Linked DNA regions of Sus scrofa. The protein of the gene in region 1 interacts with the protein of each later gene in a pairwise test. Links are inferred from orthologs where the notes say so. Each region holds a gene or a part of one and is shown in the gene's direction. Other genes may lie near its edges. The genes, in order: DVL3, KLHL12, LNX1, SNX22 and PITX1.

The links.
Region 2: the proteins of DVL3 (region 1) and KLHL12 interact in binary tests that used the Homo sapiens proteins (3 or more experiments, as listed by UniProt). The two-hybrid records come from large-scale screens. The link is inferred for Sus scrofa from reciprocal best matches to the Homo sapiens genes DVL3 and KLHL12.
Region 3: the proteins of DVL3 (region 1) and LNX1 interact in a two-hybrid assay, tested with the Homo sapiens proteins (2 studies listed by BioGRID and IntAct). The link is inferred for Sus scrofa from reciprocal best matches to the Homo sapiens genes DVL3 and LNX1.
Region 4: the proteins of DVL3 (region 1) and SNX22 interact in binary tests that used the Homo sapiens proteins (3 or more experiments, as listed by UniProt). The two-hybrid records come from large-scale screens. The link is inferred for Sus scrofa from reciprocal best matches to the Homo sapiens genes DVL3 and SNX22.
Region 5: the proteins of DVL3 (region 1) and PITX1 interact in binary tests that used the Homo sapiens proteins (3 or more experiments, as listed by UniProt). The two-hybrid records come from large-scale screens. The link is inferred for Sus scrofa from reciprocal best matches to the Homo sapiens genes DVL3 and PITX1.

The regions. Positions count from the first base shown.
Region 1 is NC_010455.5:122,073,818-122,079,419, forward strand, and holds the start of DVL3 (segment polarity protein dishevelled homolog DVL-3), read left to right. Parts: upstream 1-2,033; 5' UTR 2,034-2,299; coding exon 2,300-2,460; intron 2,461-5,602. UniProt on the Homo sapiens protein: Involved in the signal transduction pathway mediated by multiple Wnt genes.
Region 2 is NC_010452.4:24,899,088-24,904,613, reverse strand, and holds the start of KLHL12 (kelch-like protein 12), read left to right. Parts: upstream 1-1,632; 5' UTR 1,633-2,233; coding exon 2,234-2,302; intron 2,303-2,492; exon of another isoform or gene 2,493-2,912; intron 2,913-4,347; coding exon 4,348-4,587; intron 4,588-5,526. UniProt on the Homo sapiens protein: Substrate-specific adapter of a BCR (BTB-CUL3-RBX1) E3 ubiquitin ligase complex that acts as a negative regulator of Wnt signaling pathway and ER-Golgi transport.
Region 3 is NC_010450.4:40,437,153-40,442,723, reverse strand, and holds the start of LNX1 (E3 ubiquitin-protein ligase LNX), read left to right. Parts: upstream 1-2,189; 5' UTR 2,190-2,561; intron 2,562-5,571.
Region 4 is NC_010443.5:107,893,922-107,899,748, reverse strand, and holds the start of SNX22 (sorting nexin-22), read left to right. Parts: upstream 1-2,192; 5' UTR 2,193-2,268; coding exon 2,269-2,343; intron 2,344-2,715; coding exon 2,716-2,799; intron 2,800-3,204; coding exon 3,205-3,309; intron 3,310-4,829; coding exon 4,830-4,924; intron 4,925-5,267; coding exon 5,268-5,300; intron 5,301-5,588; coding exon 5,589-5,656; intron 5,657-5,827. UniProt on the Homo sapiens protein: May be involved in several stages of intracellular trafficking. Interacts with membranes containing phosphatidylinositol 3-phosphate (PtdIns(3P)).
Region 5 is NC_010444.4:137,202,783-137,208,433, reverse strand, and holds the start of PITX1 (pituitary homeobox 1), read left to right. Parts: upstream 1-1,761; coding exon 1,762-1,930; intron 1,931-4,224; coding exon 4,225-4,457; intron 4,458-5,651. UniProt on the Homo sapiens protein: Sequence-specific transcription factor that binds gene promoters and activates their transcription. May play a role in the development of anterior structures, and in particular, the brain and facies and in specifying the identity or structure of hindlimb.

The DNA.
Region 1 (5,602 bases):
GCCTGCTAGTAAATAAGCCTTGTCTGTGGACAAAGCTTCCAGAGTTTTCTTATCTCACTCTTAAATGTGAATAGACTGTTAAGGATCAGTAACCATTTGAGGAAATTTCTAACATGAAAAGCAGAGACCAAAACAAAATTCAAACCAAGGAAACTGACAAGGTAAGAAGCTTTTTGAAAACTTTAGGATGAGGGGAGAAGGTACTATTCTCAAAACTCAGGGAAGATATTGTATCTGTGAATAATGTGCTGTGAAAAGGAATAATTGGAGAACAATTCTGCAATTGTTGTGTACACATATTACCTTGATAAAAAAGTAAAGAAAAAGTAAGGATCCGGCATTGCCATGAGCTGTGGTGTAGGTCGCAGACTCGGCTCAGATCCTGCGTTGCTGTGGCTGTGACGTAGCCTGGGAGGTGTAGTTCCAATTAAACCCCTAGCCTGGGAACCTCCATATGCTGCAGGTGCAGCCCTAAAAAGACAAAAAAAGAAAGGGTATGAAAATAAATAAGATAATGTGCAGGGGCTAGCAAATAAGTAGAATTGCTTAAGTCAAAACTTTAGCCAAGGAGTTCCTGCTGTGGTGTGAGATGGGAGATATCTCTGTGTAGGTTCCATCCTGGTCCGGCTCAGTGGGTTAAAGGATTCAGCATTGCAGAAGTCTGTAAAAGTAGGTAGAGGTTAGAATGGAGAACTTGGACTATCACGCTAAGGACATTTGGAAGGCATTAAGGAATGTGGAGAGGTTTCTGAGCCAGAGGTGTCTGAAAGAGGTCCTTAATCTTGAAATGCTATGTTGGCAACAGTAAACAAAATGTTACTGTCATCTTAAAGGACTGATGTAATCTGGTCCCAGTCTACCTTTCCACCCATCTCCCACAATCACTGTAGTCACAATAACCTTCATCTTGTTTCTCAGAAGTTGATTCTTTTTTTTCAGCCATGCCCTTAGCATGCGGAAGTTCCCTGGCCAGGGGTCGAACCCACACCATAGCAGTGGCCTGAGCCACAACAGTGACAACACCGGATCCTTAACCTGATAGGCCATCAGGGAACTTCTGGCAAGTCTGTGCTTGCCTTGAGTCTTTATACTTGGCTGTGCCCTCCACATGGAATGCTCTTTCCCCCAGACCAGACCTTCTTATAGCTGTTTCCTTGTCAGTTCTAGGTCTTCACGCAAATGGAAGAGGCCTTCTCTGACCACCCATATTCTTCTACACTGTTACGTGACTACATTTTATCTTTCATAGCATTTGTCAGTCTAAAGTTACTTACTCACAAGGCTCTGTGCCTCCGTCCAAGTGAGTGAAGGTCGTGAGAGCAACCTTGTCTGTCTTGTTTTGCTATAGATCACTAAGTATGCCTTGCACATTAGTAGGTAAGAAGATGTTAGGAATGAATTATACCTAGTTCTGGTCTGAGACTTCATGTCCCAGTCAGACACACATCTTCATTCTTATACTCATTCTGCATTCAATCCATTTATTAAATCACTACACTACACCTGGTAGTACTGAGGTTTTAAGAGGGAATCAGAACTCTTGTTCTGTCCACAAGAAGTTCAGTTTGGTAGACTCAAGGACAGCATCTATGCTGCTCAATAGACCCCAAAAGGCCATGTCGAGGCCACTTTCTTACAGAGATACATGGTCAGAACTGCGGCCTTACACCCCCCCTTTCTCTGGGAAGCGAAGCCACCCCTGCATTATATTCCTCCCCAGCTGCAGAAGAGCAGCCGATCTCCCTTGGGTCCAGAGCCTGGGCCTTGAAGAGTTCCGAAACACAGCCATCCTGGAAAGATATGTCTTCCTCTGTGGGGGCCTAGGCGGCCGCCTCCACACTCCCCACGAGCCTGGGATGGGAGCTTGGGAGCCGTGCACCCCACCCCCCGGGAGGGTGGGCGGGGTGTCCGCTGGGTCCGGCGGAGGGCTAGGCCATCTGCCGCGAAGCCAGCGCGGCTCGGCGGCGGCCGGGGGCGGGGCCGCGCCGGGGCGGAGCCGCGCCGGGGTCGGGGGAGGGGAGCGGACCGGGCCGCTGCCCAGAGCCTGGAGGGCCGCGGCCACCGGAAGAGTCGCAGTCGCCAGCCGAGCCGGGAGAGTGGGGAGCGGAAGCGGCGGCCGCGACGGCAGCAGGCGGCGCTGGGACCCGGGAGCGGCCGGAGAACAAGGGAGCTGGCGCCGCGGCCGGCCGCGGAGCTGGGCTGAGCCGCTGGGCCGCGCCGAGCGCCGTCGCCGCCCGAGAGGCCCGGCCCGGCCGCCCGAGCAGGCAGCGCGCGGGCCGCCGGGCCCGAGGCCGGAGCCATGGGCGAGACGAAGATCATCTACCATCTGGATGGGCAGGAGACGCCGTATCTGGTGAAGCTGCCCCTGCCCGCGGAGCGCGTCACCTTGGCGGACTTTAAGGGCGTTCTGCAGCGACCCAGCTATAAGTTCTTCTTCAAGTCTATGGACGACGATTTCGGGTGAGGATGGCCCCGCCTCGCCTCCGGGGGACCCCGGCTCCTCTGGCTTCTAGGGGCCCACTCCGCCAGTTTGGACTCCCCTTGCTCCACTGGCTTCTAGCCCTACTCTGGATTCTAGAGGAGACTCGGCCATTTGGTCCCCGTTGGCTCTTTGAGAGGCTGGACTTCCAGCCCTCTAGGGACTCTCCTACCCCCTCCTGTGGGGGACCTTGGCCCCCTCGTTTAGGGGGAACAAACATCCAACTCCCTAAGACCAATCAGTTCCAGCCCAGTCAAGCCCCTTCACCTCTTCAGAGACCATCAGCCCACACAGACAGACACACCCCCCCTCCACCCGGTGCCAGAGCACAGTCCCCAGCCCCTCCTCCTGCCTACGGAGCCACCTCGCTAGTAGAGACTCGGGGTGTTTGGTATTCGCCTTCCCCTTCTCCATCTTTTCAGCTCCACAACTGAGAGCCATATTTGGAGTAACCCACGTCTAAGGGCTATGCTGTGGGACTTTGAACTGGCTGGGGGTGCTCAGGCTGTAAGCCAAGGCCTGCAGCCCTAATGTTTATTTAGCTGTGTCCCCTGTCCCTTGTGGGCTGTTGGGGCTGTTGTCAGGGAGCAGAGTGCCTCAACCCTGAGGCGTCCCCACTAGCCCAGGTGCTGATTTCCTGGCAGAACCAAGGCCTTTTTCCTCCAGATGGTGACCAAGGGGGAGACCTTAGAAAGGGCCTCGGAGTCTGGACCAGAGGGCCAGGAAGGTTCTCTTGGTGTTCATCTTCCCTCCTGGGGTGGGGGTGGGTGGGGGGTGTCTTCTCTACCCAGCTGCAGGGCTTTGGCCAGGAGGAGTTTGGAAGCAGTGGCTTCCCCTTTAAGAGGGGATGGAATGTTGGAGCCCGGAAGGTTCTGTAGCAGCTGGCCTGGGAGGGGGAGCCTGGCAGATCCCCTCACCACCCCCCAACTCCCAGGGGACTGGGGGAGGGGGAGGCCCCCACACTAGTCTACCCCACACTAACTGGGCACTGGGCCTGGAGGCCTGTGGGGAAGGCCTTCCTGGGCCCTCCAGGCCTGAAGGCCGCCTCTCCAGCGGTAGCCTGAGGCCTACACCGCTCTTTGGAACTGAGGCCCAGAGCTGAGTGAGGGGAGACATTCTTCTCCCCAGAGTTCATCAGCCTGGCTTCTCTCCAAGGACCCCCGCCCTCCTGGCTCTGGTACCTTCTCTGTCTTCTGCCTGGCGTGTTTTGCTGTCACCTTTCCCCCTGGAACTCTGGGTTTGATGAGCCCGTGAGATCATATGTGTGAAAGTGCTTTGTACAGTGGGAAGTGCTATGCAGCTTCTAACTATTCTTGTTCCTGTTGTTGTTGTTTTTCCTGCCTTGGGGTGGGTACTCCTGTGTAGTAATGATTGTCTGGCTTCAGTCCTGAGATAGACACCTCTGATTGGAAGATTCTGAAGAGGGATCGATCTATCGGCAAGGGGTGGAAGTGAGGGAGGGGCAGTGTGGTCGCCTCGGCCTGGTAAGAGAAGAATGGAGTTCGAAGAGACTAAAATACTGCCTCAGGGTATGGAATAGGGGAAAATCAGCCAGAGTCCAGTGCACTGGGGCCAGGTGCTTTGAGGGACTAGGTCAAACCTGTGTCTCCACTCCCTACTCATCACAGAGCCCACTGGGCCTAACCCCTACCTCCTAAACCTAGATCTCTGTGGGCTGTCTCCCACTCTCCCCAGACTGCTGTCAAGCCAGGCCTAACTGTAGTCACAGGGGGTCCCCATTTCATCCTCTCACTGTTGATTTAATATTCTTTAAATACGCTGTCAGTCCACTCACTCTTTCTTCGTTTGACCAAATCAACAATATGAACCACAGGTCTGATTTGCTGTTTATATTTCTTTCTAAAATATGTTAAAAATAAATATTTAACTCGAATTAAACATTCATTCAGGTATACCTAAAGCCATCTTGCATTCATCAGTGGTACTTGAACTTGAACCATCCTATGTAAAATATTAGAGTAGGCCATTTTAGCATGGTTGCGAACAATAGTAAAAGCAAAGTAGAGATTGATTTTGTCTTTAGCTCCAGAAGGAGTAATGAGCAAGAGACCTGATTGGGCTATCTTGTCACAGAGGACTAATAGCTGAGGAATATATATATATATTTCATTTATTTATCATACTCTCTGTGGTGCTGACAGTGTGCAACATGGTCTAAATGACTTTCAAATCTTTACTCATTCAATCCTCTTAACAACCCTAAGGAATAGGTAGTAATACCCCCAGTTTATAGATGAGAAAACTAATGCACAGAAAATTAAGTAACTTACCCAAGGTCACACAGCTAATAAGTGGCAGAGGGGTTTTTTGTTTTTTTGTCTTTTTAGGGCCACACCTGCAGTATATGGAGGTTCCCAGCCTAGGGGTCCAGTCAGAGCTATAGCTGCCAGCTTATGTCACAGCCACAGCAATGCCAGATCCGTGCTGTGTCTGTGACCTACACCACAGCTCACGGCAACGCCAGATCCTTAACCCACTGAGTGAGGTCAGGGTTGAACCAACAACCTTATGGTTCCTAGTTGGATTCATTTCTGCTGCGCTACAACAGGAACTCTAAGTGGCAGAGTTTTATTCACCATCAGGAACCTGGCTTCACAGTCTAAGGTTGTCAGTATTATTATTATCATCACCATTTAATAAGTATGTTGTCTCTGAGGGAGATGCTGAGCCTTGGCAAATTGCAAAGGTGATGGGGCTGCCATTTATCCCTCTGCCCAAGAGGGGGGCTTGGGCAGAAGCCAGCAACCCCTGCTGACAGATGGGAAGGTGGGTCAGAGGAGGAAGCCTGCCGTCTCCTCAGCCTCTCCAGGCTCACCCTCGGGGGTTCTGGTATGTAAGGCCTGAGGACTCCTAACTCCCATCTGGTCTCCAGAAGTATTCCTCAAGCTCAGGGTAGGCCCAACCCTCTTCAGTTATTTGGGAAATGGAGGAGGAATAAACATTTGCAGCACTGAGGAGATGGTGGATGGAAGAAGAAGGTACCACCACTGGAGGGGCCTTGAGCTATGGGAGGAACATGGGAAGTCCAGCCACTCAGCATGTTGCTCCCTGCTCCTTCCACCCAGAGTACTTCCCTTTTCTTGTCTTCTCCAGGTCCAAAGT
Region 2 (5,526 bases), on another chromosome or scaffold:
CGTATTTGTGACCTACACCACAGCTCACAGCAACACCGGATCCTTAACCCAGGGATCGATCCTGAGTCCTCATCGATGGTAATCAGATTCATTAACCACTGAGCCACGACGGGAACTCAGTGCACTGGCTTTCTTGATTGCAGTTTCTCCACTTTTACTCTCTGGAAAAGGGGCAGGCATACTCCAAACAAAGCTTCTTAAGTATCTGCTCATATTTGGAAAAACTCAGTTTAGAAGCCAGAACTCAGTTTTAAAGCCACATCATCAAAGATTCTGCAACCAAAAACCAAAGGATTATTTTTATTTAAATTATACATATTTTTAGTTAACATAATGCAAAGTTCAAAAGGCCCTGGACTTCCTGTTGTGGCTCATCAGAAACGAATCTGACTAGCATCCAAGAGGACACAGATTCAATACATGGCCTTGCTCATTGCGTTAAAGATCCAGCATTGCTCTGCTGTAGTGCAGGCTGGCAGCTACAGCTCCAGTTCTAGCCCCTAGCTTGGGAACTTCCACGTGCTGAGGGTGTGGCCCTAAAAAGCAAACAAGCAAACAAAAAAAAACAAAGTTCAAAAGGCCTAAAAATACATAAAGGGAAAAATCTCCCTCCCATCCTGTCTCCCAACTCACCAGTTACTCTCTCCAAGAAAGTGATGTTACTGCTTTATTTTGTATCTATAAAATGCATTTTATACACATGCAAGCAAATATGACTATATTTCCCAAACTTTTTCACAATTAATAGCAAAGTATACACACTGTTCACAACTTCATGGTATTGGGTTGTATGGATGTGCCATATGTTAGTGAACCAGTCCCCTACAGATGGGCATTAAACTTTTTCTTTTCTTTTTTTTTTTTTTTAGGGCCACACCTGTGGCATACGGAAGTTCCCAGGCTAGGGGTCAAATGGGAGTTGCAGCTGCAGGCCTATGCAACAGCCACAGCAACACCGGATCTGAGCCGCATCTGCAACCTATACCTGCGACCTTCGCTGCAGCTTGCAGCAACACTGGATCCTTAACCCACTAATAGAGGCCAGGGATCAAACCTGCATCTTCATGGAGATTATGTCGGGTTCTTAACTAGCTGAGCCATAATGGGAACTCCTTGTTTTCAATCCAGGAGTTCCTTAAGTGTGGTGCAGTGGGTTAAGGATGCCACGTAGTCACTACTGTGGCTGCTGGGGCACAGATTAGATTCCCCACCCAGAAATTTCCACCTGCCACAGGCAAGGCCCAAAAAAACCCTTGTTTTCAATCCAATCTACAAACAACCTTGCACACACATCATTTTACATGTGTGAGTATATACAAAGGATAGATTTCTAAAGATCATTGTTTTTTTTTGTTGTTTGTTTGTTTTGTCTTTTTGCCGTTTCTTGGGCTGCTACCACGGCATATGGAGGTTCCCAGGCTAGGGGTCCAATCGGAGCTGTAGCCACCGGCCTACACCAGAGCCCCAGCAACGCGGGATCCGAGCCGTGTCTGCAACCTACATCACAGCTCACGGCAACGCCGGATCCTTAACCCACTGAGCAAGGCCAGGGATGGAACCCGCAACCTCATGGTTCCTAGTCGGATTCGTTAACCACTGAGCCGCGACGGGAACTCCAAATTTCTAAAGATCATTGTTAAGGAATATATATATATGCATTCATCATTTTGGTGAATTTTTCCAAGATGCCCCCAATAAAACTTGTACCAATCCTGCACTCACAATATACAAATCAGAGACAATTTTAGACCAGAGATAGGATATGAAAGATGGAGACACTACTGTAAAATTAGATTGCTACCCACTTAGCTACAGTTTTAATATCCCTAAAGAATCAAGCCCCCCTCAAAAGGAAAACAATACAATCAAACACAATTGGTTTGGACATTCGCATGAACTGAATCAAGGAACCTCATTCCCTTCTGAGCCACTGAGATAAGTGTACCAAAATCAAACAGAAGCAAAAATACTAGCACAACACTCAGCCTCCGAGATTTGTGAAAGGCAGCAGAATCGGAATAGGGGAGATGAGGATTCCTGGGACTTGCAAGAAGACCCTTCGGAATCTCCCTCGGAGGGGCCGTGAGTTCCTTCCACTAAACTGTCCTGAAGTGCAAGAAGCAGAGAACACCCAGGGGTGTTGAGGCCCGATTGTGATGCAGAGAATGCTGAGGTCCCAGGGTCGCAGGGCTCAGAGGATTCTCATCACAGCTCGAAAAGGCCATTGTGGAAAATGGACATGAAGACACTGGAAGCCTCCGTGAGTTTTCTTGATGTGAGAGGGTTCCTGAATACCTGTCAGGTAAACACTCTCTGCAGTCAGTTCTCTAGCTTCGAAAACTCTGGAATCCTCTCAGTCCACCGCGCCTGGGGACCTGCGGAGCATCTGGACCAGTCACCGGGTGGGGACCTGCACCGCCGTGTTCTCTGGAGCTAGCCCCGCACACCTGCGGGTCACGTGACGCGGCCCCTCACGTGACGCTGGGTGGTCGTGACGTCATCACTGCGCGCGGCGACGGTGGGGACGGCCTCGGGTCGGGGCGGCGGTGCTTGGGCTCCTCCCGAGCCGCCCGCTAGCCCCGCGCCCACCCCGCGGGCCAGAGCGCAGGTGAGTGGCCCGGAGGCAGCGGCTAGCGCCTTTCCGTCCCCTTTCTCCCGGTCGGCCTCTCCCAGCCGGGCGGTGTCCTGGCGACGAGCGCCTCGCCCTCCACCTGAAGCTGTCGGGGAGGACTCCGCTTTGCTCTCCAGCCTGCAAGCCCCCCTCCCCCGCCCCGAATCTGACCCAGCCCGCGGCGCAGCCTCTCCTCTAGGGAACTCGCTGGAGCCCGGGCTAGGTCAACCCTGGATCGGGGCGCACCCTGCGTACCCCGGCAGAGAGACCGCGCCGCGTTGGGGTCGAGTCCGTTTGACAGGTGAGCCCTGTCGTAACATCCCCTCCCCACCCCGAAGGTCTTCACGGTAAACGGGCGTCTGTGCAGACCTTTCTCACATCTCCGGAGTTGAAACTGCATTGACTCAAGGACGACCTTTTTGAAAAACATCGTATGCTTTGCTGTAAAATGGATCTTGCGGAGTTGTTGGACGGATAACATAGAGTGCCTATAGAATAATATGCTAACTATGAACAGGAGTAGATGAGAAATTAGGATCTCGTTTTTGCTTTCATATCAAATTATGGTTGTGAGTTGTGGACTCTTGAAAACCAGTTGTTTTTTTTTTTTTTCCTTGGATCATTTCAGAAAGTTCTGGAGCCTACATAAGATAGGCTTTCTTAATAACCACCCCATTCATTCTACAGAAACTGTTTTTGAAGCAAAAAAAATTAGTGTGACCAAAGCCTGTCAATCAGGAAAGTACTTCTTATATTGATTTGTTAAGATGTAATCTGTTATTTAGTTCATTTAATTGGTATGTGCAGGTGAACTTTACAAGTGACTGGCTATGGCAGTGAAATTAGTAGCAGAGGTCCTATCCTAGTAAGTCACTCTTTCAGTATAGAAATACAAATACCGATTTGTTAATTTTGCTGAACCTTTGCAACTAATGTAGAGTGGGAAGCCCCTTCTGTAGAAGAGCTTCAGTAGCTTTAGTGGAAGTCCACAGATAAGTGTGCATGGATTCCACTGTTCAGTATAGGTATCGGGTCCTCACTTGAAGTTTCACTTTTTGAAGAAATCCGGATATATTTGAAAGTCATCAAAAATAATTATTTGCATTATTTTAGAAAAAAGTTTATTTTCACTAATACTTGATCTTTATTGCTCTAGGTTGAATACACAGTTTTTCTTTTCTTGCACTCTATTACTAAACATTTATTGTACATTTTCTGGGAAAGAAAAAAATATATAAATCAGAATCCCCACCCTATAAATATTTACCTACTTAATCTACTTGAGGATATTAAAAACAATGATATCACACCCTTAAGAAATTCTGTCTTTTCATTTTGTCACGTGAGACAACAGCCTTGTGAAGATATGCAGGAAATGTAGGGTTTTTTTCCACTTATAATGCAGTTGTATTGATCATAGTATTTGTCAAATGGTTGGGGCACTTGATGATTATGGAATTCAGAGGAAGAAGAGATCATTTTTATTTAGTTTTATTTTAGTTTTTATATTATTATTTGTTATTTATTTATTTATAATTATTATTATTTTTTATTATATTTATTTTAGTTTTTATTTATAGTTAGTGGCTAAATTGTATTCGTAATGCCAGGAATAGGAGAGCTCCCTACTTGAAGATTTTTGAGTCTGATGGAGCCTCCTTAATTTGTAGAGCTAACAGTATGTTTAGCTTCCCAATTCCTTCAAATATGGTCCTTGTTTTTCTTTTCTCTTGTAGTTGCAGCATCCAAGGACCCCTTTCATCCTTTCTCCATATTGCTTGATGGGAGGCATTATGGCCCCCAAAGACATAATGACAAACACTCATGCTAAATCCATCCTCAACTCAATGAACTCCCTCAGGAAGAGCAATACCCTCTGTGATGTGACATTGAGAGTAGAACAGAAAGACTTCCCTGCCCATCGGATTGTGCTGGCTGCCTGTAGTGATTACTTCTGCGCCATGTTCACCAGTGAGGTAAGTGGTAAGTTATCTCCTCACAAGTGGAGCCCACACACATCACCTTGTAGTTGCCTCACTTCGCTGAATAAAATAGTAGAAATGTGACATGACAGTGAATTTAAACAGAGTGGCGGTTAAATGGGCAGACTCTGGATCAGATCTGCCTCTTGACTGTGCCTTAGTTCCCTGTCTTTCAGTTAGGGAAGGAAACTGGGAAGTAATACACAGGAGCCTATGCTTATCGTGACAGTTAGTGGAAAAAATTTCCTATAATGTGCTTAGAACAATGTCTAGCATGGAGGAAAACACAGTTGTCAGCTCCTGGGTTTACTTATTGTTTTTTTTAATTTGTTTTCCTTCTCAAGTTTGCTGTTTTCACCTGCATACCAGGAAGGGGAAGGCACGAGGAGTGAGATTCAGTCCTCATCCCACTCCTCCTGACAGCGTGTGAGGAAAGTCTGTATTCGTTCCACCCGGGTTGCCTTCAGAGTCGTTGCAGATGAGAGGGGCAGCTGTGTAGGTGTAGGGAGGCTCACTTGGGAAAAGGTGCTGACCCCGGAGGACAAGCCATTAGCAAAGGGAATGAGAAACAGTTTGGCTTGGCAAGAAAAGGTAGTGCTGGCAAATATTAAGCCTGGCAAGATGCTGAAGACATGGGGGCTGCCGAGGAAATTTTAAGGTGCCTATTGGGGAGCTGGCAGAGGAGAGCACCACACTCGTCTTCCAAGAGCTGAGATCTGGGAGTTCCCATCGTGGCTCAGTGGTTAACGAATCTGACTAGGAACCATGAGTATACGGGTTTGTTCCCTGGCCTTGCTCAGTGGGTTAGGGATCCAGTGTTGCCGTGAACTGTGGTGTAGGTCGTAGACGTGGCTCAGATGGTTCCTAGTCGGATTATTTTCCACTGCCCACAACGGGAACTCCCCAAACAACTTTTTAAAAAGGTGAAAGATT
Region 3 (5,571 bases), on another chromosome or scaffold:
GACATCCAAACGAAATCCCCGACCTCGCGCCAACCTTTTTTTTTTTTTTAATTGCCATAAATCTGGTAAATAAATCTTTCATCTCTGTTGAGAAAGAAGAGCTGACCAACCTCAAGGTTAAAGGCTTATGTGGCCCCGGAGCAAAGGACCCACAACTCCACCAACTAAATGCAAGCGTCCCAAGGCCTAGCAGCTGCCCTGATGTCAGAAGTCTTGTATTTGCAGAGAAGGACAACTTGGACCTCGCGGGGAGGCATCTCCTTGTCTCCTAATTAAAGGTTTTACACAGTGCCCTTTGTGGCTCAGTGGTAAGGAACCTGACTAGTATCCATGAGGATGCGTGTTTGATCCCTGGCCTCATGCAGTGGGTTAAGGATCCGGCATTGCCGTGAGCTGTGGTGTAGGTCTCAGACATGGCTCGGATCCTGTGTTGCTGTGGCTGTGTTGTAGGCTGGCAGCCGTCACTCCAATTCAACCTCTACGCTGGGAATTTCCATATGCCACACGTGCAGCCCTAATAATAAATAAATAAATATAAATAAATAAATACAGGTTTTACTTTCTTTTGACCCCAGAGGCCAGCTGCCTGGGTAACTGCACAGGAGCTCCATGCTAACAATTGGAAGTAAAGAGGAGGCCAGTGCTCATACTTAAAAAAAAAAAAAAAAAAAAAAAAAAAAAAAAAAAAAAAAGCTGCAGTAGACCTGAGACTGAAAATACACTTGCCGATTTCTTTGCATCCAGCAGACGTTTCCAGGCTGAGATAGAATCGCTCAGCTTATGGATGACTTATGAAAAGAAGCTCCTAACTGTTAGGCTTCTAAGTTAAAAAGATGAACTTGTGATCAGGCTGAAGCACACACGAAAGCCACGAAATTTATAGGGCACTTCCTTACAGGTAGATCAGAATCAGAGTGGAGGAGTTCCCATCGTGGCTCAGTGGTTAATGAATCCGACTAGGAACCTCAAGGTTGCGGGTTCTATCCCTGGCCTCACTCAGTGGGTTAAGGATCCGGCGTTGCCATGAGCTGTGGTGTAGGTTGCAGACACGGCTCAGATCCTATGTTGCTGTGGCTGTGGTGTAGGCCAGAGGCTATAGCTCCGATTAGACCCCTAGCCTGGGAACCTCCATATGCCATAGGAGCAGTCCTAGAAATGGCAAAAAGACAAAAAAAAAAAGAATCACGGTGGACAGCCAGGTGACAGCAGCCAGCAGTGCCCCCGTGGATTAGCAAGAGGCAGGGGTCCCTGGGCTAGGTGTGTTCTGTGTGCAAGTTACCGAAAGGTAGCACCGATTCATAACTCCAGGGCAAGACCGCTTAGCTAGCTGATGATCTGTGGTTCTGTTTAGAATTCCATTCCCAGATCGAAGAGTTTCTTTGGCCACCACCGGAGCTGTCAGACCACAGAAGTACCTAAGCCAACAGGCGGGAAAAACAGGGCTTAGAAGAACACCCTTCCAGAAAGGCAATTTCTACATTTTTAACCAGCTGGGTGACTTGGCAGGAGTGACTTAATCTTGCTAATCCTCAGTTTCTTCATCCACAAAATGGGGATGAGAACTATACGCTTATGTCAAGGATTAAATGAAATAATGCAGGGGAGGTCGTTAGCCCAGGACCCAGCTGACAGTAAAGTCTCCATAAGTGAAGTAAGCAAGCAAAGACAGTGCCGCTGCTGATGACCGTGACCTGGAAGAGTAGGTAGAAGAAATCCTTATTGAAACGATAATCCTGTATCTTTAGAGGGTATCTTTAAATGTCTTATCTATATCGTTAAAAGTCTTAGCTAGTGTCAGCCATGAACTCGCTCCCTCTTTTTCTTTGTCTAAAAACATTTGCCAGTGTTCCGTTACGAGAGATGCTGCCTATGGAAAATCTTTGAAAGATTTGGCAAGGCATCGGAGCGAGTCAGGACTGCTTGATTTGTCTGAGATAGATTTCATGCTTCTGAGCTAGAGGCACGCTTCTTCGCAGACTTAAAAATGAAAAGATGCCCAGGATTCTGAGACCCGTCCAGGCAGTGGCCAGCTCCCGCCTGTTCAGGAAGTGGTCCTAGCATGATGATGTCCCAGCCTGGTGCTGACCTGGAGGGGCAGTGACCCTGTGTTTATTTCCTTGTTGATTTCCCTTCCCTGGTTCCAAGCTCATTTTCCCATTGCCTGCAGGAAAACAACATCCAGGGGTGCGGTAGGTCTGATTTGGCAGCTCTAAAGGTGAACAAAAGGATCCTGGCTTTGGCGAGAGCAGGAGGAAGTTGGAGGGGGCCTCGGCCCCATGCAAACCAGAGCAGACTTGTTACCGATGCTCCTGGGTGGCTGTTCTGCGGGGGCCTCTCTCCCCTGGTTGATGGATCAGCTCTGTGCAAAGCCTGCAGACGGGGCCTGGGATGAGCTGATGAACTGCAAAGCGGGGTGGTTCTCATGCGTGTCTGGAAGACAGGCCACAGGAAAGAGGAAGAGTATTTTTCTGGGCTACTGCTGAGTCAGAAAAACTTAGCTCCCAAATGGACTGTACCAAGAGGTCTTACCTGGCTGGAAACTGATTCACAGCACAGCAAAGGTAAGAGGCCTTCTTCCTCCAGAGGGTGGCATCAGACAATTGGAGAAAACTTTGCCCCAGACTATCCCAGCCCAGCCTCCACCCTCACCCCCACTGCACTGCACGCAAACACATGCATACACACACACAGACACACACACACCCAAGATGTTGAGAACCTAGAGATATCTAGGTCTGTCTTTTCCAAAACACTCTAGAAAGGCCTCAGGATATTTGCTCTCTTTAGGCTTGATTTATTTTTTTTCTGCATTCTTCACGACACCTCTTCTTTTATTTTCAAAAATAAAAACTACATATATACATATGTAAATTTTTTTTTTTTACTGGCCAAGCAAGTCAGTAAATCATAAGTAATCCCACTAATAATGATTGGGTTTCTGTGACATTATTCGTCATCAATACTCAAAATACATTCACGCATTTTATCCCATTTCGGCAGTAGAAATAGGCATCATCACTGCACTTTCACCTACAGAGCAACTGAGGCCCAGAGCAGTGGACTTGCCCAGCAGCAGGTAGGAGGTGAGACAGTCCATCTCATTGCCGCTCCGCCTCTTTTCAGCAGACTAGTGACTCTCCTCTCTAAACCAAATACCAGGCTCCATTCTCTGCCACATTCCCAGCACACGATCTGATGAGAGGATGGAACCGGAGCAAGGAACTCCCCTGGACAATCCAGAAACAGAGAGTCACGGGGTCTAGTCCAATACGCCACCGCATTGTATATCCCTGTCTGCTTCTCTCCATAGGCATTGACTCCAGTTCAACAGATGTTGATCAGCGCTGGCCCATGTGCCCAACTCTGGGTCACGTGTCAGGGCGCAGGGCAGACTGGATGCCCAGGTGGTGCTGAAGGAGTGGGAGCTGGGAGAGGAGTTTGTTTATGAGAAGGCTTTCCATGGGAGGGGAGCCTTACACCAGGCTTAGCGTGACGTGCAGACTTATATTGAGGGAGAGCAATGCAGATCAGCGCACCCCTCCCCCTGTCCCCTGGCCGCCCCAGGTAGGGAGGGAGTGAGCATTTACAGCAAGACTGGCAGCGGAGGAGCAGAGGGGGTACTGAGCAGACTGGGAAGGTAGACCATCTGGATATGACTCTTGGTTCTACCGCCTAGTAGCTGTGTCCTGGGGTGACTCAGATAACCCCTGTGACCTCAGTCTTCTGACACGTAAAGTGGGAACAGTGGTGATGCCTATTTCATGGGGTTGTCTTAAGATGTCAATGCGATGATGCATGTGAAATCTTTGCTGGCACCCAAGTGCTCAGTTCATACTAACTATTTAACTGCCATGTACCTGGCTCCATGGGAGAGGAGCCCTACCCTCAACTGGACCACAATATTATGGGTTAGTTGTGTGTAACCCACTATAGGCAGTGTGCTAAGTGCTGTGAGGTCACAGAGGAGGGATCGGTTAAGGATACTTGGTTGAGTGTCCTGGGCGGTCTGTTGAAGGGAGAGGGTCGGAGGAGAGGTTTCATGGCAGAAGCCCTGTTGTAGTAAGGTGGCTTGCATCAAAGCTATACTGATTTGATTTTTTTAAAATATATTTCTGAGTATTTATATAAATGTTTAATTTCCTATAATATACTGACTTGATTTTGAATAGCAACTTCAGCCCCACCAGATGCGTGGTATGACTGTGTTAGTCTGCCAGGCTGCATAACAAAGGACCACAGCCTGGGTGGCTTCACCAACAGAAATGTACTTTCTAAAGTTCTGGAGGCTCTAAGTCCAACATCAGGGTTAGGCCACTCTGCCGGGCTTGCAGAGGGCCCCCTTCTTACTGTGTCTCACGTGGTCATCCCTCTTTGCACCTGCACCCTGGTGTCTCTCTGCATGTCCAAATTTCTTCTGGGAAGGGCATCAATCAGGTTGGATTAGGGTTCACCCTAGGGACCCCTTTTTGATTTACTCACCACTTTCAATGCCTCATCTCCAAATCCAGCCACTTTTTGAGATACAGTGGGGCTTTAGAATATAAACTTGAAGGGACATCATCCAGCCCATAACAATGAGTTTGTTTCTAAGCCTTTCCAAGCCTTTTCACTCAACTAGAAGATGGGGACAGTACTTGACATGGACAGTACTTAACATGGAGACCCACTGTGATCATCACAAAAAAAAGACATGGAGTTCCTTCCCATTGTGGCTCAGTGGTAATGAATCTGACTAGGAACCATGAGGCTGTGGGTTTGATCCCTGGCCTTGCTCGGTGGGTTAAGGTCCTGGCTTTGCCATGAGCTGTGATGTAGGTCGCAGATGTGGCTCGGATCCCGCATTGCTTTGGCTGTGGTGTAGGCTGGCAGCTGTAGCTCCAATTCAACCCCTAGCCTGGGAACCTCCATATGCCACAGGTGCAGCCCTAAAAAAAGCAAAAAAAGAAGAAAAAAAAAAGAACACATGAAACACCTCTCCCAGCCAGTTTTGGACCTTTAGAAGGTACCCCATAGGCAATGGTGGTTGTTACTAGAACTTTAGACCAAGCTTCCAAGGAACATAGGATCCTCAACACAAATCATGTGCCAGATGAATAGACGAACTGGCCCTTAGTTATCCCACAGACTTCCTGGGAGGACAAAGGGGCCTCCATGTCCCCACTTTCTTAGTTCTGGCAGATGAGCCCATTATCAGATAAGCCAAGTGGCTGGCATGACCAGCCCTAGAGATACTGTGTTCTCTCTTTCTAGTTTTTTGGGAAACTGTCCATTCTTTACTAAATGAGTGGAGTGAGAATGCACATTTCTAGCACTTTAGCCGAGAACTGACATATGGCAGATATACCCTGACTTTGCCCCTAGGCAACCACTCCCGCTTTATCCACCCAAATGTAGATGTAGATACAGATATGGATATAGAATAGACGAAGATATATTTATCTCAAACTTATAGAAAAGTTGCATGTACAGTCCTGGGCAAAGAATTCTGTATTGTCTTTTTCCTGATCCCTTTGAGAATGAGCTGTCAAAAAAGTTCCTCCTTTTCCCCAAGTACTTCAGTGTGCATCTCCC
Region 4 (5,827 bases), on another chromosome or scaffold:
CTGGTCAGATGGTACTGAGTCTGGGGCTGACTTGGGGAAACCAGGGAGACATACGATAAACAAAAGAAACTCCATATTGGGATTAAGTGCAGAGAGAGCGGGCTTTGAGAGGGTGGGCAGGAAGGAAGGCATCCTTAAGGAGGTGAGTTTTAGGCTGAGAATTGGAAGTTTTAGGCAAAGCCTATCAGGTGAACTGTCAGGAAAGAGTATAAATGTCCTGAGGTAGGAGTTCCCGTCATAGCTCAGTGGTTAACGAATCCATCTAGGAACCATGATGTTGCAGGTTCCATCCCTGGCCTTGCTCAGTGGGTTAAGGATCCGGCATTGCCATGAGCTGTGGTGTAGGTTGCAGACACGGCTCGGATCTGGTGTTGCTGTGGCTGTGGCTCCGATTTGACCCCTAGCCTGGGAACCTCCATATGCCGCGAATGCGGCCCTAGAAAAGATTAAAAGACAAAAAAATAAATAAATAAATAAAAATAAACTAAATGTCCTGAGGTAGAAAGAGCTCATTAGGTTTGAAGAACTGGAGGAAGGTCCCTGCTACTGGAGCCCCATTGCACAAGACTGGAGGAGAGAAAATGAAATGAGAGATGGTGGCTGGGCCAGGTCGTTTAGAGCTCGAGATAGTGTGGGGAGGGTGGCTTTCGTTCTCAGCACAATATGAAGCCTTTGCAAGTTTTAAGCAGGTGCCTGGACAGTTTGTGCTCTAGTGGAGAGGGAGTAAGGCAAGGAAAAGCAGCAAGATCCCTTAGGAAACTGGCAGTTTTCTGGGTGGTGGGGATAGAGACGGAGGGCAGACCTTCAGTAGGCTGGGTGATCAAGAAGTTTAGAGGTCTGAGGGCCCAGGAGAGGACTTCCCAGACAGCAGACAAGGAAAGCAGGGCCCCTGTGGGGCTCTATAGACGTCAAGGGAGGAAATGAAAGCTCAGCACTTCTCCTCATGGGGGGTCATTTCCCTTCCAGGAAGTTTCAGCTTCCTGATTCTGGAGCCCTTGTGAGATGGAATTTGGGGGGAAAAGTGGGGGGGACATAGTACTGGCGAGACCTGCCTGCCTCCTTTCGGGTCATCCTCTCAGCCTCTCTGTGGGGGCAGAGCTGGGAATGGAGAGTTTCTGCTCCAGCTCAGAAGCACCTCTGCACTAGCAGGGGAGGGACTGACTTGGTATCCCCCAACCCCAACTTCTCAGGTGCTCTGCTTCTTCCTTCCCACCATAGAGGAGTCAGTGGAGTGGAGGCCTATGCTGGATGAAACAGCTCCCTTATGGCCATAGCCAGGGCAGGGGTAGCTGTGGCTGAGGGATGGGGGCAGAGGCCCCTCTCAGGAGGTGAGAGTTCTGGATTAAATCCTGCCGCATATTCACAACAGCTCTGTCAGAAGAGTGGGCAACATCAGCCCGGCGCCACCTCCCACAGTCCCTCTCCCTACCAGGTTGTCCTGTACACCAACACCACCCAACAATGTCTCCAGGACAGGCCCACAAACTGCGATTTTTCTCAGCATCTGCTTTGCTGAGGGCTTAGCAGGAATCATCTCAATTTTCATGCCCTCTCCTGAGGGAAGCATATTATCCAGATTTTGCAATGCGCACAGGCCTACTGTGCTTTCCACAATTGGGGAAATGCAAGGTGTCTGAATTTCCTTGAATTTGGTCCCTAAACTGCCTCTCCCCGACCTGATGCAGCTTGGGCTAAAAGACGAATGAATGGAGGAACGGATTTTTAAAATGAAAGAATGGAGTGGGCCTATGAGTGCTGGGGCGGGGAACATCAAAGCCAGAGTGCGACCAACTTTACCCCAGCACGCTCCCGGGGTATAGGCTGAAGTTGGAGTAAAGTGGATTGGAAGGGGGGCAGCCTGACCCCGGGGAAGGATGTGAGGAACGCCAAGAAATGTCCCTGGTTGGTCTGTGCCCTGGCTCCCTCCTTGTCCAGCCGTCCACGGGCCCTAGCCCTTCCTGCGGCTCAAGAGCAGGTGAAATTTTGGCTTGCCCCCATTCCTGGTCATCAGTGGGCGCTCAGCGAGTGTGGACATAGTACTAAACGGATGACTCTCTGTCGAAGAGTCCCCACGCCCTGCGGCCCAACTAGGCTCAGGGAGCGGCTCTAGCCTCCCGTCGCCCCCACCCCGGACCTGGTCTAATCAGCCCCCGGCAGGACCCGGAGGCAGGAGGGAACGCCCGGGGCGGGGCTAACGTGGGGGCGGGGCCAGCCACACTGGGGTCTCCAGTCCGCCCCGAGAGAGTTCCGGCGGCAATCAGCGCGCGGATGCTGCAGGTTCACATCCCTTCTGTGGGACCCGAGGCCGAGGGGACCCGGCAGAGCCCCGATAGAGGGCACATGGTGAGCGGGAGCACTGGATGGGAAGGGGTACAGGGACCCGCCAGATTTCCCTGCGCCGAACGCAAGGGGACCCCGCTCCTGGGGCTCGGGCGTCCGAACGCAGCGGGCCAGGCTGTCGAGGGCAGCTTCGTAAGGGTCTCCGGGCCGCTCGGATTTGCCAGCCCCGCGGACAGTGGTCCTGGCCCTTGAGGGGCTCACCGCATGGAGCCGAGTCCCCGAGTGTGTGCGAGCGTGGGAGGGTCCCTGAAGAGCGGAGCGCTCCCGCCGCTTTGTGCCTTTGAGGGCGGAGGGTGGGCGAGTGGCCGGGCAAGGGTCCAGCGGCGCCCTCCCGTCGGCCTCATGCGCACCCGGCTGCCTGCCCGCGCCCGCCAGGTGTTCCGAGTGGAGGTGCTGTGCCGCGGGCGCAGACATACCGTGCAGAGGCGCTACAGCGAGTTCCACGCGCTGCACAAGCGGGTGAGGCAGCAACCGACCGACCGACCCCGCCCAGCTCCTGCCCACCCTCTGGGAGGCGGGCAGACGAGCTGGCAGGCCCCAGTCTCTGCCATCCCCATTATCGCCCCAGGCCCTGAAGACCCCTGCGGGCTGCGGGATGGGCGCAAAGGGGCAGGTCCCAGCCTCTGTTGTCCGTGCCCTGGCGCAGCCAGCCCGCTGTCGGGCGTTTTGGGGGTGAAGGGTCAGGTTGGGGCGCCTCTCGCCCTTGTCCCATCCACCATTCACCACGCGGGTATGTCTCAGGATAGAGCCTGAAGTTTGGGAGTGCAGGCATGGCGGGGAGGACTGGAAAGGGGTCTTGGCTAGGATGAAATGAGCATGAGGGCTGGGTCGGGATGCTGTGATCGCACCTCGGTAACCTGGCAGATCAAGAAACTATACAGAGTTCCCGACTTCCCCTCGAAACGCCTGCCCAACTGGAGGACCAGAGGATTGGAGCAGCGGCGGCAGGGCTTGGAGGCCTATATCCAGGTGTGCGTGCGTCTCTCTCTGTTGCCCCCCAGCCTGCTGCATGCAGAGGTGCGGGGCATGGGGTGAAGGATCCCACATTTGGGGCATTTTGTTTGTTTGTTTTTGTGTGTTGGGCACACCTGTGGCATATGGAAGTTCCGAGCCACAGCTGCAGCAATGCTGAATACTTAACCCACTGTGCCAGACTGGGATCAAAGCTGCGCATCAGCAGCCTCCAGAGCCACTGTAGAGATAATGCTGGATTATTAACCTAATTGGGCCACAGTGGGAACTCTTGGGGCCTGCTATTTACTACTTCAAATTTCCAAACAGTAATGGGTCCAAACATACCTGTGAATTGGTAGGACTGAGTGAGGTAATCAGGAGGCAGGTGGTCCCAGTTAAATGAAAGCTAGTTCTCATCTCCAGGGTGAGATCCTGTGCTGCCCTCCTGATATAGGGTGGAGATCCTCCCTCTCCTTTCCCACATGGTTATGCGACATTACAGGCCAGGCTGGCTTCATGAGCCAAGCTGTGTAGTCATCCAGGGCCAGTGTTTGGGAGGGCCCCAAGCTTGGTTTAATGCTCTACTCTCACTGTCCAGAAATACTTTTTAAAATGTTTTTCCGGAGTTCCCGTCGTGGCGCAGTGGTTAATGAATCCGACTAGGAACCATGAGGTTGCGGGTTCCATCCCTGCCCTTGCTCAGTGGGTTAAGGATCCGGCTTTGCCGTGAGCTGTGGTGTGGGTCACAGACGCGGCTCGGATCCCGCGTTGCTGTGGCTCTGGCGTAGGCTGGTAGCTACAGCTCCGATTAGACCCCTAGCCTGGGAACCTCCATATGCTGCCGGAGCGGCCCAAGAAATGGCAAAAAGACAAAAAAAAAATTTTTTTTTCCCATTATAGTTGATTTAGGGTGGTCTGTCAGTTTCTACTGTACAGCAAGGTGACCCAGACTCTCTCTCTCACACACATATATATGTATATATTCTTTTTCTCACATTGTCCTTCATCATGTTCCATCACAAGTGACTAGATATCGTTCATTGTGCTATACAGCAGGATCTCATTGCTTATCCACTCCAAAAGCAACTTTGGGGAGTTCCCTTCGTGGCGCAGTGGTTAATGAATCCGACTAGGAACCATGAGGTTGCGGGTTCGGTCCCTGCCCTTGCTCACTGGGTTAACGATCCGGCTTTGCTGTGAGCTGTAGTGTAGGTTGCAGACGCAGCTCGGATCCAGCGTTGCTATGGTTCTGGCGTAGGCTGGCAGCTACAGTTCCGATTAGACCCCTAGCCTGGGAACCTCCATATGCCGCGGGAGCGGCCCAAGAAATGGCAAAAAAGACGAAAAAAACAAACAAAAAAAAGCAACTTTGCCTCTATTAACCCCAAATTCCCAGTCCATCCCACTCCCTCCCCCTCGGCAACCACAGAAATTCTTTATCATTTTGGAAGGCCCCCCACGTTTTCATTTTGCACCAGGCTGCACACATGACACGGCAGAGTCTGATTACGGGTTTTCTCTGTTCTCTTCTCCAGGGCATCCTATACTTGAACCAGGATGTGCCCAAGGAACTACTGGAATTCCTGAGTCTTCGGCACTTCCCCACAGACCCCAAGGCCAGCAGCTGGGGGTGAGCACCTCTAGGGACCATGGCTTGGCATGAGAGGAGCCTCAGAGTTGGGGGGACAGGGGCTCTCTGCAGCCAGCGGGTGAGGAAAGGCTCTAGAGGCCGAGCCCTTTTCCCTCTCACATCTGCCAGGCCTGGTTTTTCCTCTTTGAGACATGACCTCCCTTGTTGGCTTTCATGACCCTGGTGGAGGGGCTGTTTTCTGGAGAGTGTTGGTTACACCAGCTGCCTCCGGAACTGAGCTTGTTACAAATAGCAGTGGTCCCCTGGGAGGTGAGGTTCTGGGCTTCCGCAGGTTCACCCTGCCTTCCTCCCTCAGGCAGCTCACAGCCTCTCTCCTTTTCAGCACCCTGGGGCAGCTCCTGCCTGACAACAGCAGGCAAGTCAAACACCCTGTTGGCACTGGGCTTCTGCTGCCCTCTCGTGGCCATGTGCTAGGGGATGTCCTACTTCCCATTTTCCTTTTTTTTTTTTGAGACCTATCACTGCTGTGTCTGGCTGTGAACTCTTGCTACTGCAGAGACAATACTGGCTCCTTAACCCGATGTGCCACATCGGGAACTCCCACTTGCCACTTTTCCTTGGTGGGTCCTTGGTGATCTCAGTCCTTACTCTGAGGCTTTGTTCCACCTACCCCTGCACTGCTCATGACCTCTTTTCCTTTTAGCTCACAGCTGTGCCACAGGCCAGTCATCAGCTTCTGCGTGGACCCTTACATTTGCATCCCCCCCCCAGGTGAGGCAGTGCCTCTGACCTGTAATCCACATTCTGGACTGAGGCTCGAGGGTGGGAGTGAGGGGGGAGCATTTCTCAGTTCCCAGGACCCCCAGGCAGCATCTCCCTCCTGGACACCTTTGGGGCCACACTGCCCTGCTTCCTGCTTTATATTCTCATCCAGGGAGCAAA
Region 5 (5,651 bases), on another chromosome or scaffold:
CCCCCCCACCCCCACCCCCGCCATCCTGCCCAGTGCTGCTTCTGCCTGGTGGAACTGGTGGGCCGAGATGAGACACAGAGGGCAGCCTGGGGTCCAGCTGTGGCCAGAGGAACAGAGCAGGGTCACACCCTACCACCCCAGCTGTCACCTGTTCGCTCAAGACTCTGACATCTCAGGGCCAGTTACCCATTGCTAAGCAAAAGCCTTCACCAAACTTCCCTGAGGTAGGAGGACTGGGGAGGGACTGATTCTTCGGGCTGAGAAGCGGACCATCTCTGCCTGTGCTCAGAGAGGGCCCAATGGAGCTGCAGCTTAGCGACCAAGGCCCAGGAGACAAACTCCGAGACCATCCCAGGCTTCCTGGGCTGCTGGCCTAGGTTTGCAAACTGTAGTCACCTGGCCTGCCAGGTCTATGCCTGCAGTTCTGGGCAGCCAAAGTGAGGTCCCAGGCCCTGGGAACCTGCCCTGAAGGGGGTCAGAGGCCCACCCCGTGGTTGCCACGGCCAGAGCCAGGCAGATTCGGTGAGCCCTCTGAAAGGGCGAAACAAGGAGAGAGTCCTCTCGAAGGGGATGTGGGGCCTGGCAGGGCTCTTGGGGTCTCCTGCTGCACTCGCCAGCGGCCTGGAGCCAACAGAAACGTTTCGTCTGATTAGAAGCCATCAGTTCTATCCCAATCCCGGAAAATTGACTGTGGTGCAGAGGGGGGAGGCCTGAGAAGCAAGCCGCCTTGGGGGAGAGGGTCCAAGCTAATTAGGAGGCAGCATCCGGGGGCCCATTAGAGCGCGGGCTGCTGTCACTCAGCCTGGCTCGGGTCCCGGGAGAAGAGGCCGGGAAAGGAGGGGCCGGCGGCCCCTGGACGAGGACGCGGCTGGGAGCTGCCGGAACGAGCCCCGGGCTCTGCCCCCGCCCTGGCGCTGGCTCGCCGGCGACCGGTCGGTGCGATCCTGTTCGGTGAACATTCACTCGGCCTGGGCTGTTCTCGCCGGGGACTCGGGACTTCGAGGCGGCCCAGACTGGAGTTGATTTCGAGCGAAACAAGTCATTTGGGGCTTGAGGTGGGCACGAGCCGCGAGGGGCTTGCAGGCCAGATGCGTTTCTTTTGTGCGGCCGAGGGAGAACTCGGTGTGTCACCGGGGGGAAGGAGGGTGAGGCGCGGCGAGGCCGCGGGAGGGGGGAGGCGGCGGGAAGGTGGCTGCGGAGGGGGAGGGCGCGGGTGAGGCCGGGAGGGAGGGAGGGAGGGCGGGCGGCCGAGAGGGCGCGGCGGCGCGGGCGGCTCGGGGCTGGATTCCGCCCGCGCTCCCTCGCTCGCTGCTCCTTTCCTCCCTCCCTCCCTCCCTCCCTCCCTGCCCCCTCCCACCCCGGCCCACCCCACCCACCACCCCTGGCGCAGGGACTGCTGGAACCTGGCGGTGCGCGCTGTCGCTTTAAGACAGGCTCTGCCGGCGCGGTCCGGAGCCTTAGAAACCGGCCCCGGATCGGGAGCCGGAGCCGGGGCCGGGCGGGCGGCTGAGGCCCGAGCGGCGGGAGCGCAGCGCGGAGCGCGAAGCCGGGCCCCCGGTCGCGAGAAACCGCTGCCGCTGCCGCCCGCCTGGCCCCGCAGCCCCGGGCGGTCCATGGGGCGGGCGCGGCGTCGTTGCGGGCGCGGGCAGCCCTGGGGGGCAGCCGCTTAGACGCTGCGCTCTCGTTCTCGCAGGTCGCAGCCAGGGCGGCCGGGTGCCCCCAGCCCCGGCCCCCGGAGCGCCCGCCACGGTCCCCGCTTCCATGGACGCCTTCAAGGGGGGCATGAGTCTGGAGCGGCTGCCGGAGGGGCTCCGGCCGCCGCCGCCGCCGCCGCACGACATGGGGCCCGCCTTCCACCTAGCCCGCGCTGCCGACCCCCGCGAGCCTCTCGAGAACTCCGCCAGCGAGTCGTCCGACACGGAGCTGCCAGGTAAGCGCGGCTGTCTGCGAGGCGCGCACGGAGCCTACTCCGCAGGAGGGCGCAGGGAGCCAGGAGCAGGGCCTGGCACCCGCGCCGCGCAGGCAGGCTCGCTCTACACCCCAGGAGCGTCGGGATCTTTCCTTTTCCCGTTTTGTACCTGAGGGTGAACGCGGAAATGTACACACTTTCAGAAACAGAAATCTAGTGCTTTCCGAAAACAGTTCCATGAGATCCCCACGCGCCAAGTGACCGGCAGATGCATAAACCTACGACCGGAGAGTCGGACTGACAGCCCCTCTTGATCAGGAGCAAATAGAACGGGGCGGGGGTGGGGGAGGAAATTGGGTGACCCGGGTCGCTCAGACCGAAGGCGAAGAGCAGATCAGAAAGGAATGGGGCGGTGGGCGAAAGAAAGTGCCCAGGAAAGCAGAGTACTGACACCCCGACACACCGTGGGCGACTGACTGCGAGAGGGAGAGACCCAAGAGCAGGGGTGGCGGGAAAAGTGAGAAAAGCAAACAGGGAGTAAGAGAAACAACCTAAGGTCACAGAAAAGGAGAGGACAGCGAGGGCGAGCGGGCCAAGGGGCTCGGCCCGGCTCCGGCGAGGACCCCCTAAGCCAGGGATCCCGGCCCCACGTGCGCCGCCGGAGCCCGGAGCCGCCAGGCCGCCCAGCCAGGTCTCCGGCTCGGCTCAGGCACGTCTCCCTCCGCGCTACCTTTTTGTCCCGGCTCGAGCTTTATTCCCCGGCCGCTGCTGGGCCGGCGATGGGCGGCGCGGGCCGTGGCGAGGTTAGTACCCGGCCCGGTCCCGGCTCCCGAGTCTCGGAATCGCTCGCGGTCTTGACTCCGCGCCGCCGCCCAGCTCCCTGCTCTCTCGGCTACGGGCGCCTCTTCTGCGTTCATTTCTTAATCCACCGCTGAGTGTTTCTCTACGCGTTTTTAATCTCTATTTGTTTCTGTTTTGCATCCCTAAGTGACTTTCTCTGAGAGGTTCTGTTGCTTGGTTAAAAAGTAAGCAGCGCTGGACTGTACTTTTGTTTTCAAAAGTTTTAGGCGTGGGCTTGGGTTGGTTTTTATTGTTAAAGCTCAGAGAAATCGTTACAGATTGCTTTTAACAACCAAGTCTATGAGGATAAACTTTAAAATTTAACTGTATTTTTCAGTATAGAAAGAATTGCTATCCTAAGTACATTTCTCCGGAATTTTAAAATATCTGCATGCAACGTTATTCTTCGAGACATTTTAAAAATTCAATCCAAAATGGCGCGTTTGTCCGGGATTTTCTCAAAGTCCATTTACAGGGGTGTGATTTGGGGAATTTATCTAACTAGAGTGTTGTATTTCTCTGGGATTTAAAAATTACCTCTAGAAGAGCATTATTTGGGAAGGGGTTAAAAAAAACTATCTACAACAGTACCTTGATTTTTTTTTAAGTCCCAGATAAATAAATGCCGGTGTCTGCCTGGAGTTTATACACGTACAGCACTGTATTTAGTTAGGGATGTGTTTGCACGGAGGTTTCTGGCTTCTTAATTTGCATTTGCTGTGTTTCTACCTGCCTATTTTTAAGAGTGTGTGACCCTTTCTAATGTTTTTAGGCATAGAGCTGTGAGCTTTCCTAGGCTTCTGTGTTTTGTTTTTAAATTCTTTTTCTTTATGCTTCGATGTTTCTATGACTGCATGTGTTTTGTGTAGCTTCAAAGAGAGAGAGGCAGAGCCCCAGGGTCACTTAGAGCCTGTGGGTCTGGCCTGCTCGGCTGCCGCCAGAGGGATTTTCTGGGCCTTGAGACGTGGGGCCTGGAGCTGAGGCCGAGAACCGGCGGTGCAGTGCCTGCCCGGTGGGACTCCCACACAGCCCTGGGGAAAAGAGGGTGGAGAGCCTGCAAACCACTTCCTGGCTCTCGCCCTGCCAACCGGATAACTTCAACTTCGGGCTAGAAAGATCTGACCCTCTGCCTAGAAAAGCAGAGCTCCCCTCTGGCTTAGAACTCCAAGAACCCTAAAAATGTACATTCGCCAGTGACATCAGCAGTAGGGATCGAGCAGGAGCCGAGCTGTGAGAGCAGGCCCTGCCCAGCTAGGACCTAGGCCCAGGGCTCCAACTCCTGGGCTCTTCTCCCAGACAAGCCGGGCCAGAGGTGACTACTGATATCCGGCACGGGCGGGCTCTTTCTAATGGGGACAATTCCAGGGCCCCTGGCGGGAGGGCGGCCGCTGAAGGCCGGCGCTTCGGTGGAGCCGGGACGGGGTGCAGAAGGGCATAAGCCCGACGTGACCGATGCCCCATCCTGCCCGCTTCAGAGAAGGAGCGCAGCGGGGAGCCCAAGGGGCCCGAGGACAGCAGTGCGGGCGGCGCGGGCTGCGGCGGTGCGGAGGACCCCGCCAAGAAGAAGAAGCAGCGGCGGCAACGCACGCACTTCACAAGTCAGCAATTGCAGGAGCTGGAGGCCACGTTCCAGAGGAACCGCTACCCGGACATGAGCATGCGGGAGGAGATCGCTGTGTGGACCAACCTCACCGAGCCACGCGTGCGGGTGAGCGCAGGGCGTGTGCCTTAAGGGGACCGGCGCCGAAGGCTGCCGCCGGTCCAGCGCAGCCCTTGAACGCTTAGATCGGCGCTCAGACTATTCCTCTGTCCCACCACTTAGACCTGCTCCCTCCCTCCACCGGAGGATCCGGCCGGGGTCTACCCAGCCGCCGCTGAGCCGATTGGTGCTTGCGCGCCTCGGCTGCTGCCGCCTCGGATCCCTCTGACCCGCATCCTATGTGACCCTCCGGCTCTACCGCAGCCCCTCGCCCAAAGACCTGTGGCCCCAGGGGATTTTCCCCAGCCCTGTAGAGTCCGGGGCCCCCCTCGGATGTTGCCGCCCTAGACTGCGCAGAGGATTCCCCGCGCTGGCGATCTCGGAACAGCTGGCACCTTCCCGAGAAAACGAAAGGGAAAGGCAGGTCCTGCCTGGCAGCTTGAGAGAGGCCGGATAAGAGCCTAGGCCTGGGGGGGGGGATGTCTCAAAACTTCCTGGAGCAGTGGTCCCATCTGCAGTCGGTTTCTCCAAAACCTTAAGATACTCTTCACCTGCCTCTTTCTCAGCCACCAGCCAGTCTGGAGCTGGACCCTTTCCCTAAGGGCTGGGATCAGGTGGCGGGTGGGGAAGCAGCTCTGGTGGACTGGTGGACCAGGGGCTCTCAGGAAGAATCCTTTTGGAGACGTAAGGTCTCTGACCTGAGATGGGACTACACCCTCCCTCTTCTCACCCCTTGGTTACTCGAGAAAATGTACATGACTTTCCGGCCAGAGCAGCAAGAGAAGCATTTCTTCCCTGGGTACTGCAAATATTTAATGCGATACTGGGAGCATGTCCCAAGCTAAACCAAGGTCCCACCTGGCCCACAGACTCCCTGCTAAAAGCCCAGCTCTCACCCCTCCCCAGTTAGGCTGACCAGCCCAGTGTGATAGGGAGTGAAGACAGCACTCAGTAATCCTGAACTCACTAATCCTGCCAGGGCTTGATGTTAGCAGGGCTGGAGTGGGGGTAGAATCAGCAGCGGTTAGTGCTGGCTATGGGGAAGGCTGAGATGCAGGAGGCTGGCAAGCTAGCTCAGGAAACAGCGCAGGGCTGGAGGAGGGCTGGCGAGGGCAAAGGAGTACGGACGATAAAGGAGGATCGGGCGAGGATCGGGTGTTGGGAAAGAAGAGGTTCTTCTTGCATTTCGCGGGGGGAAAGGTG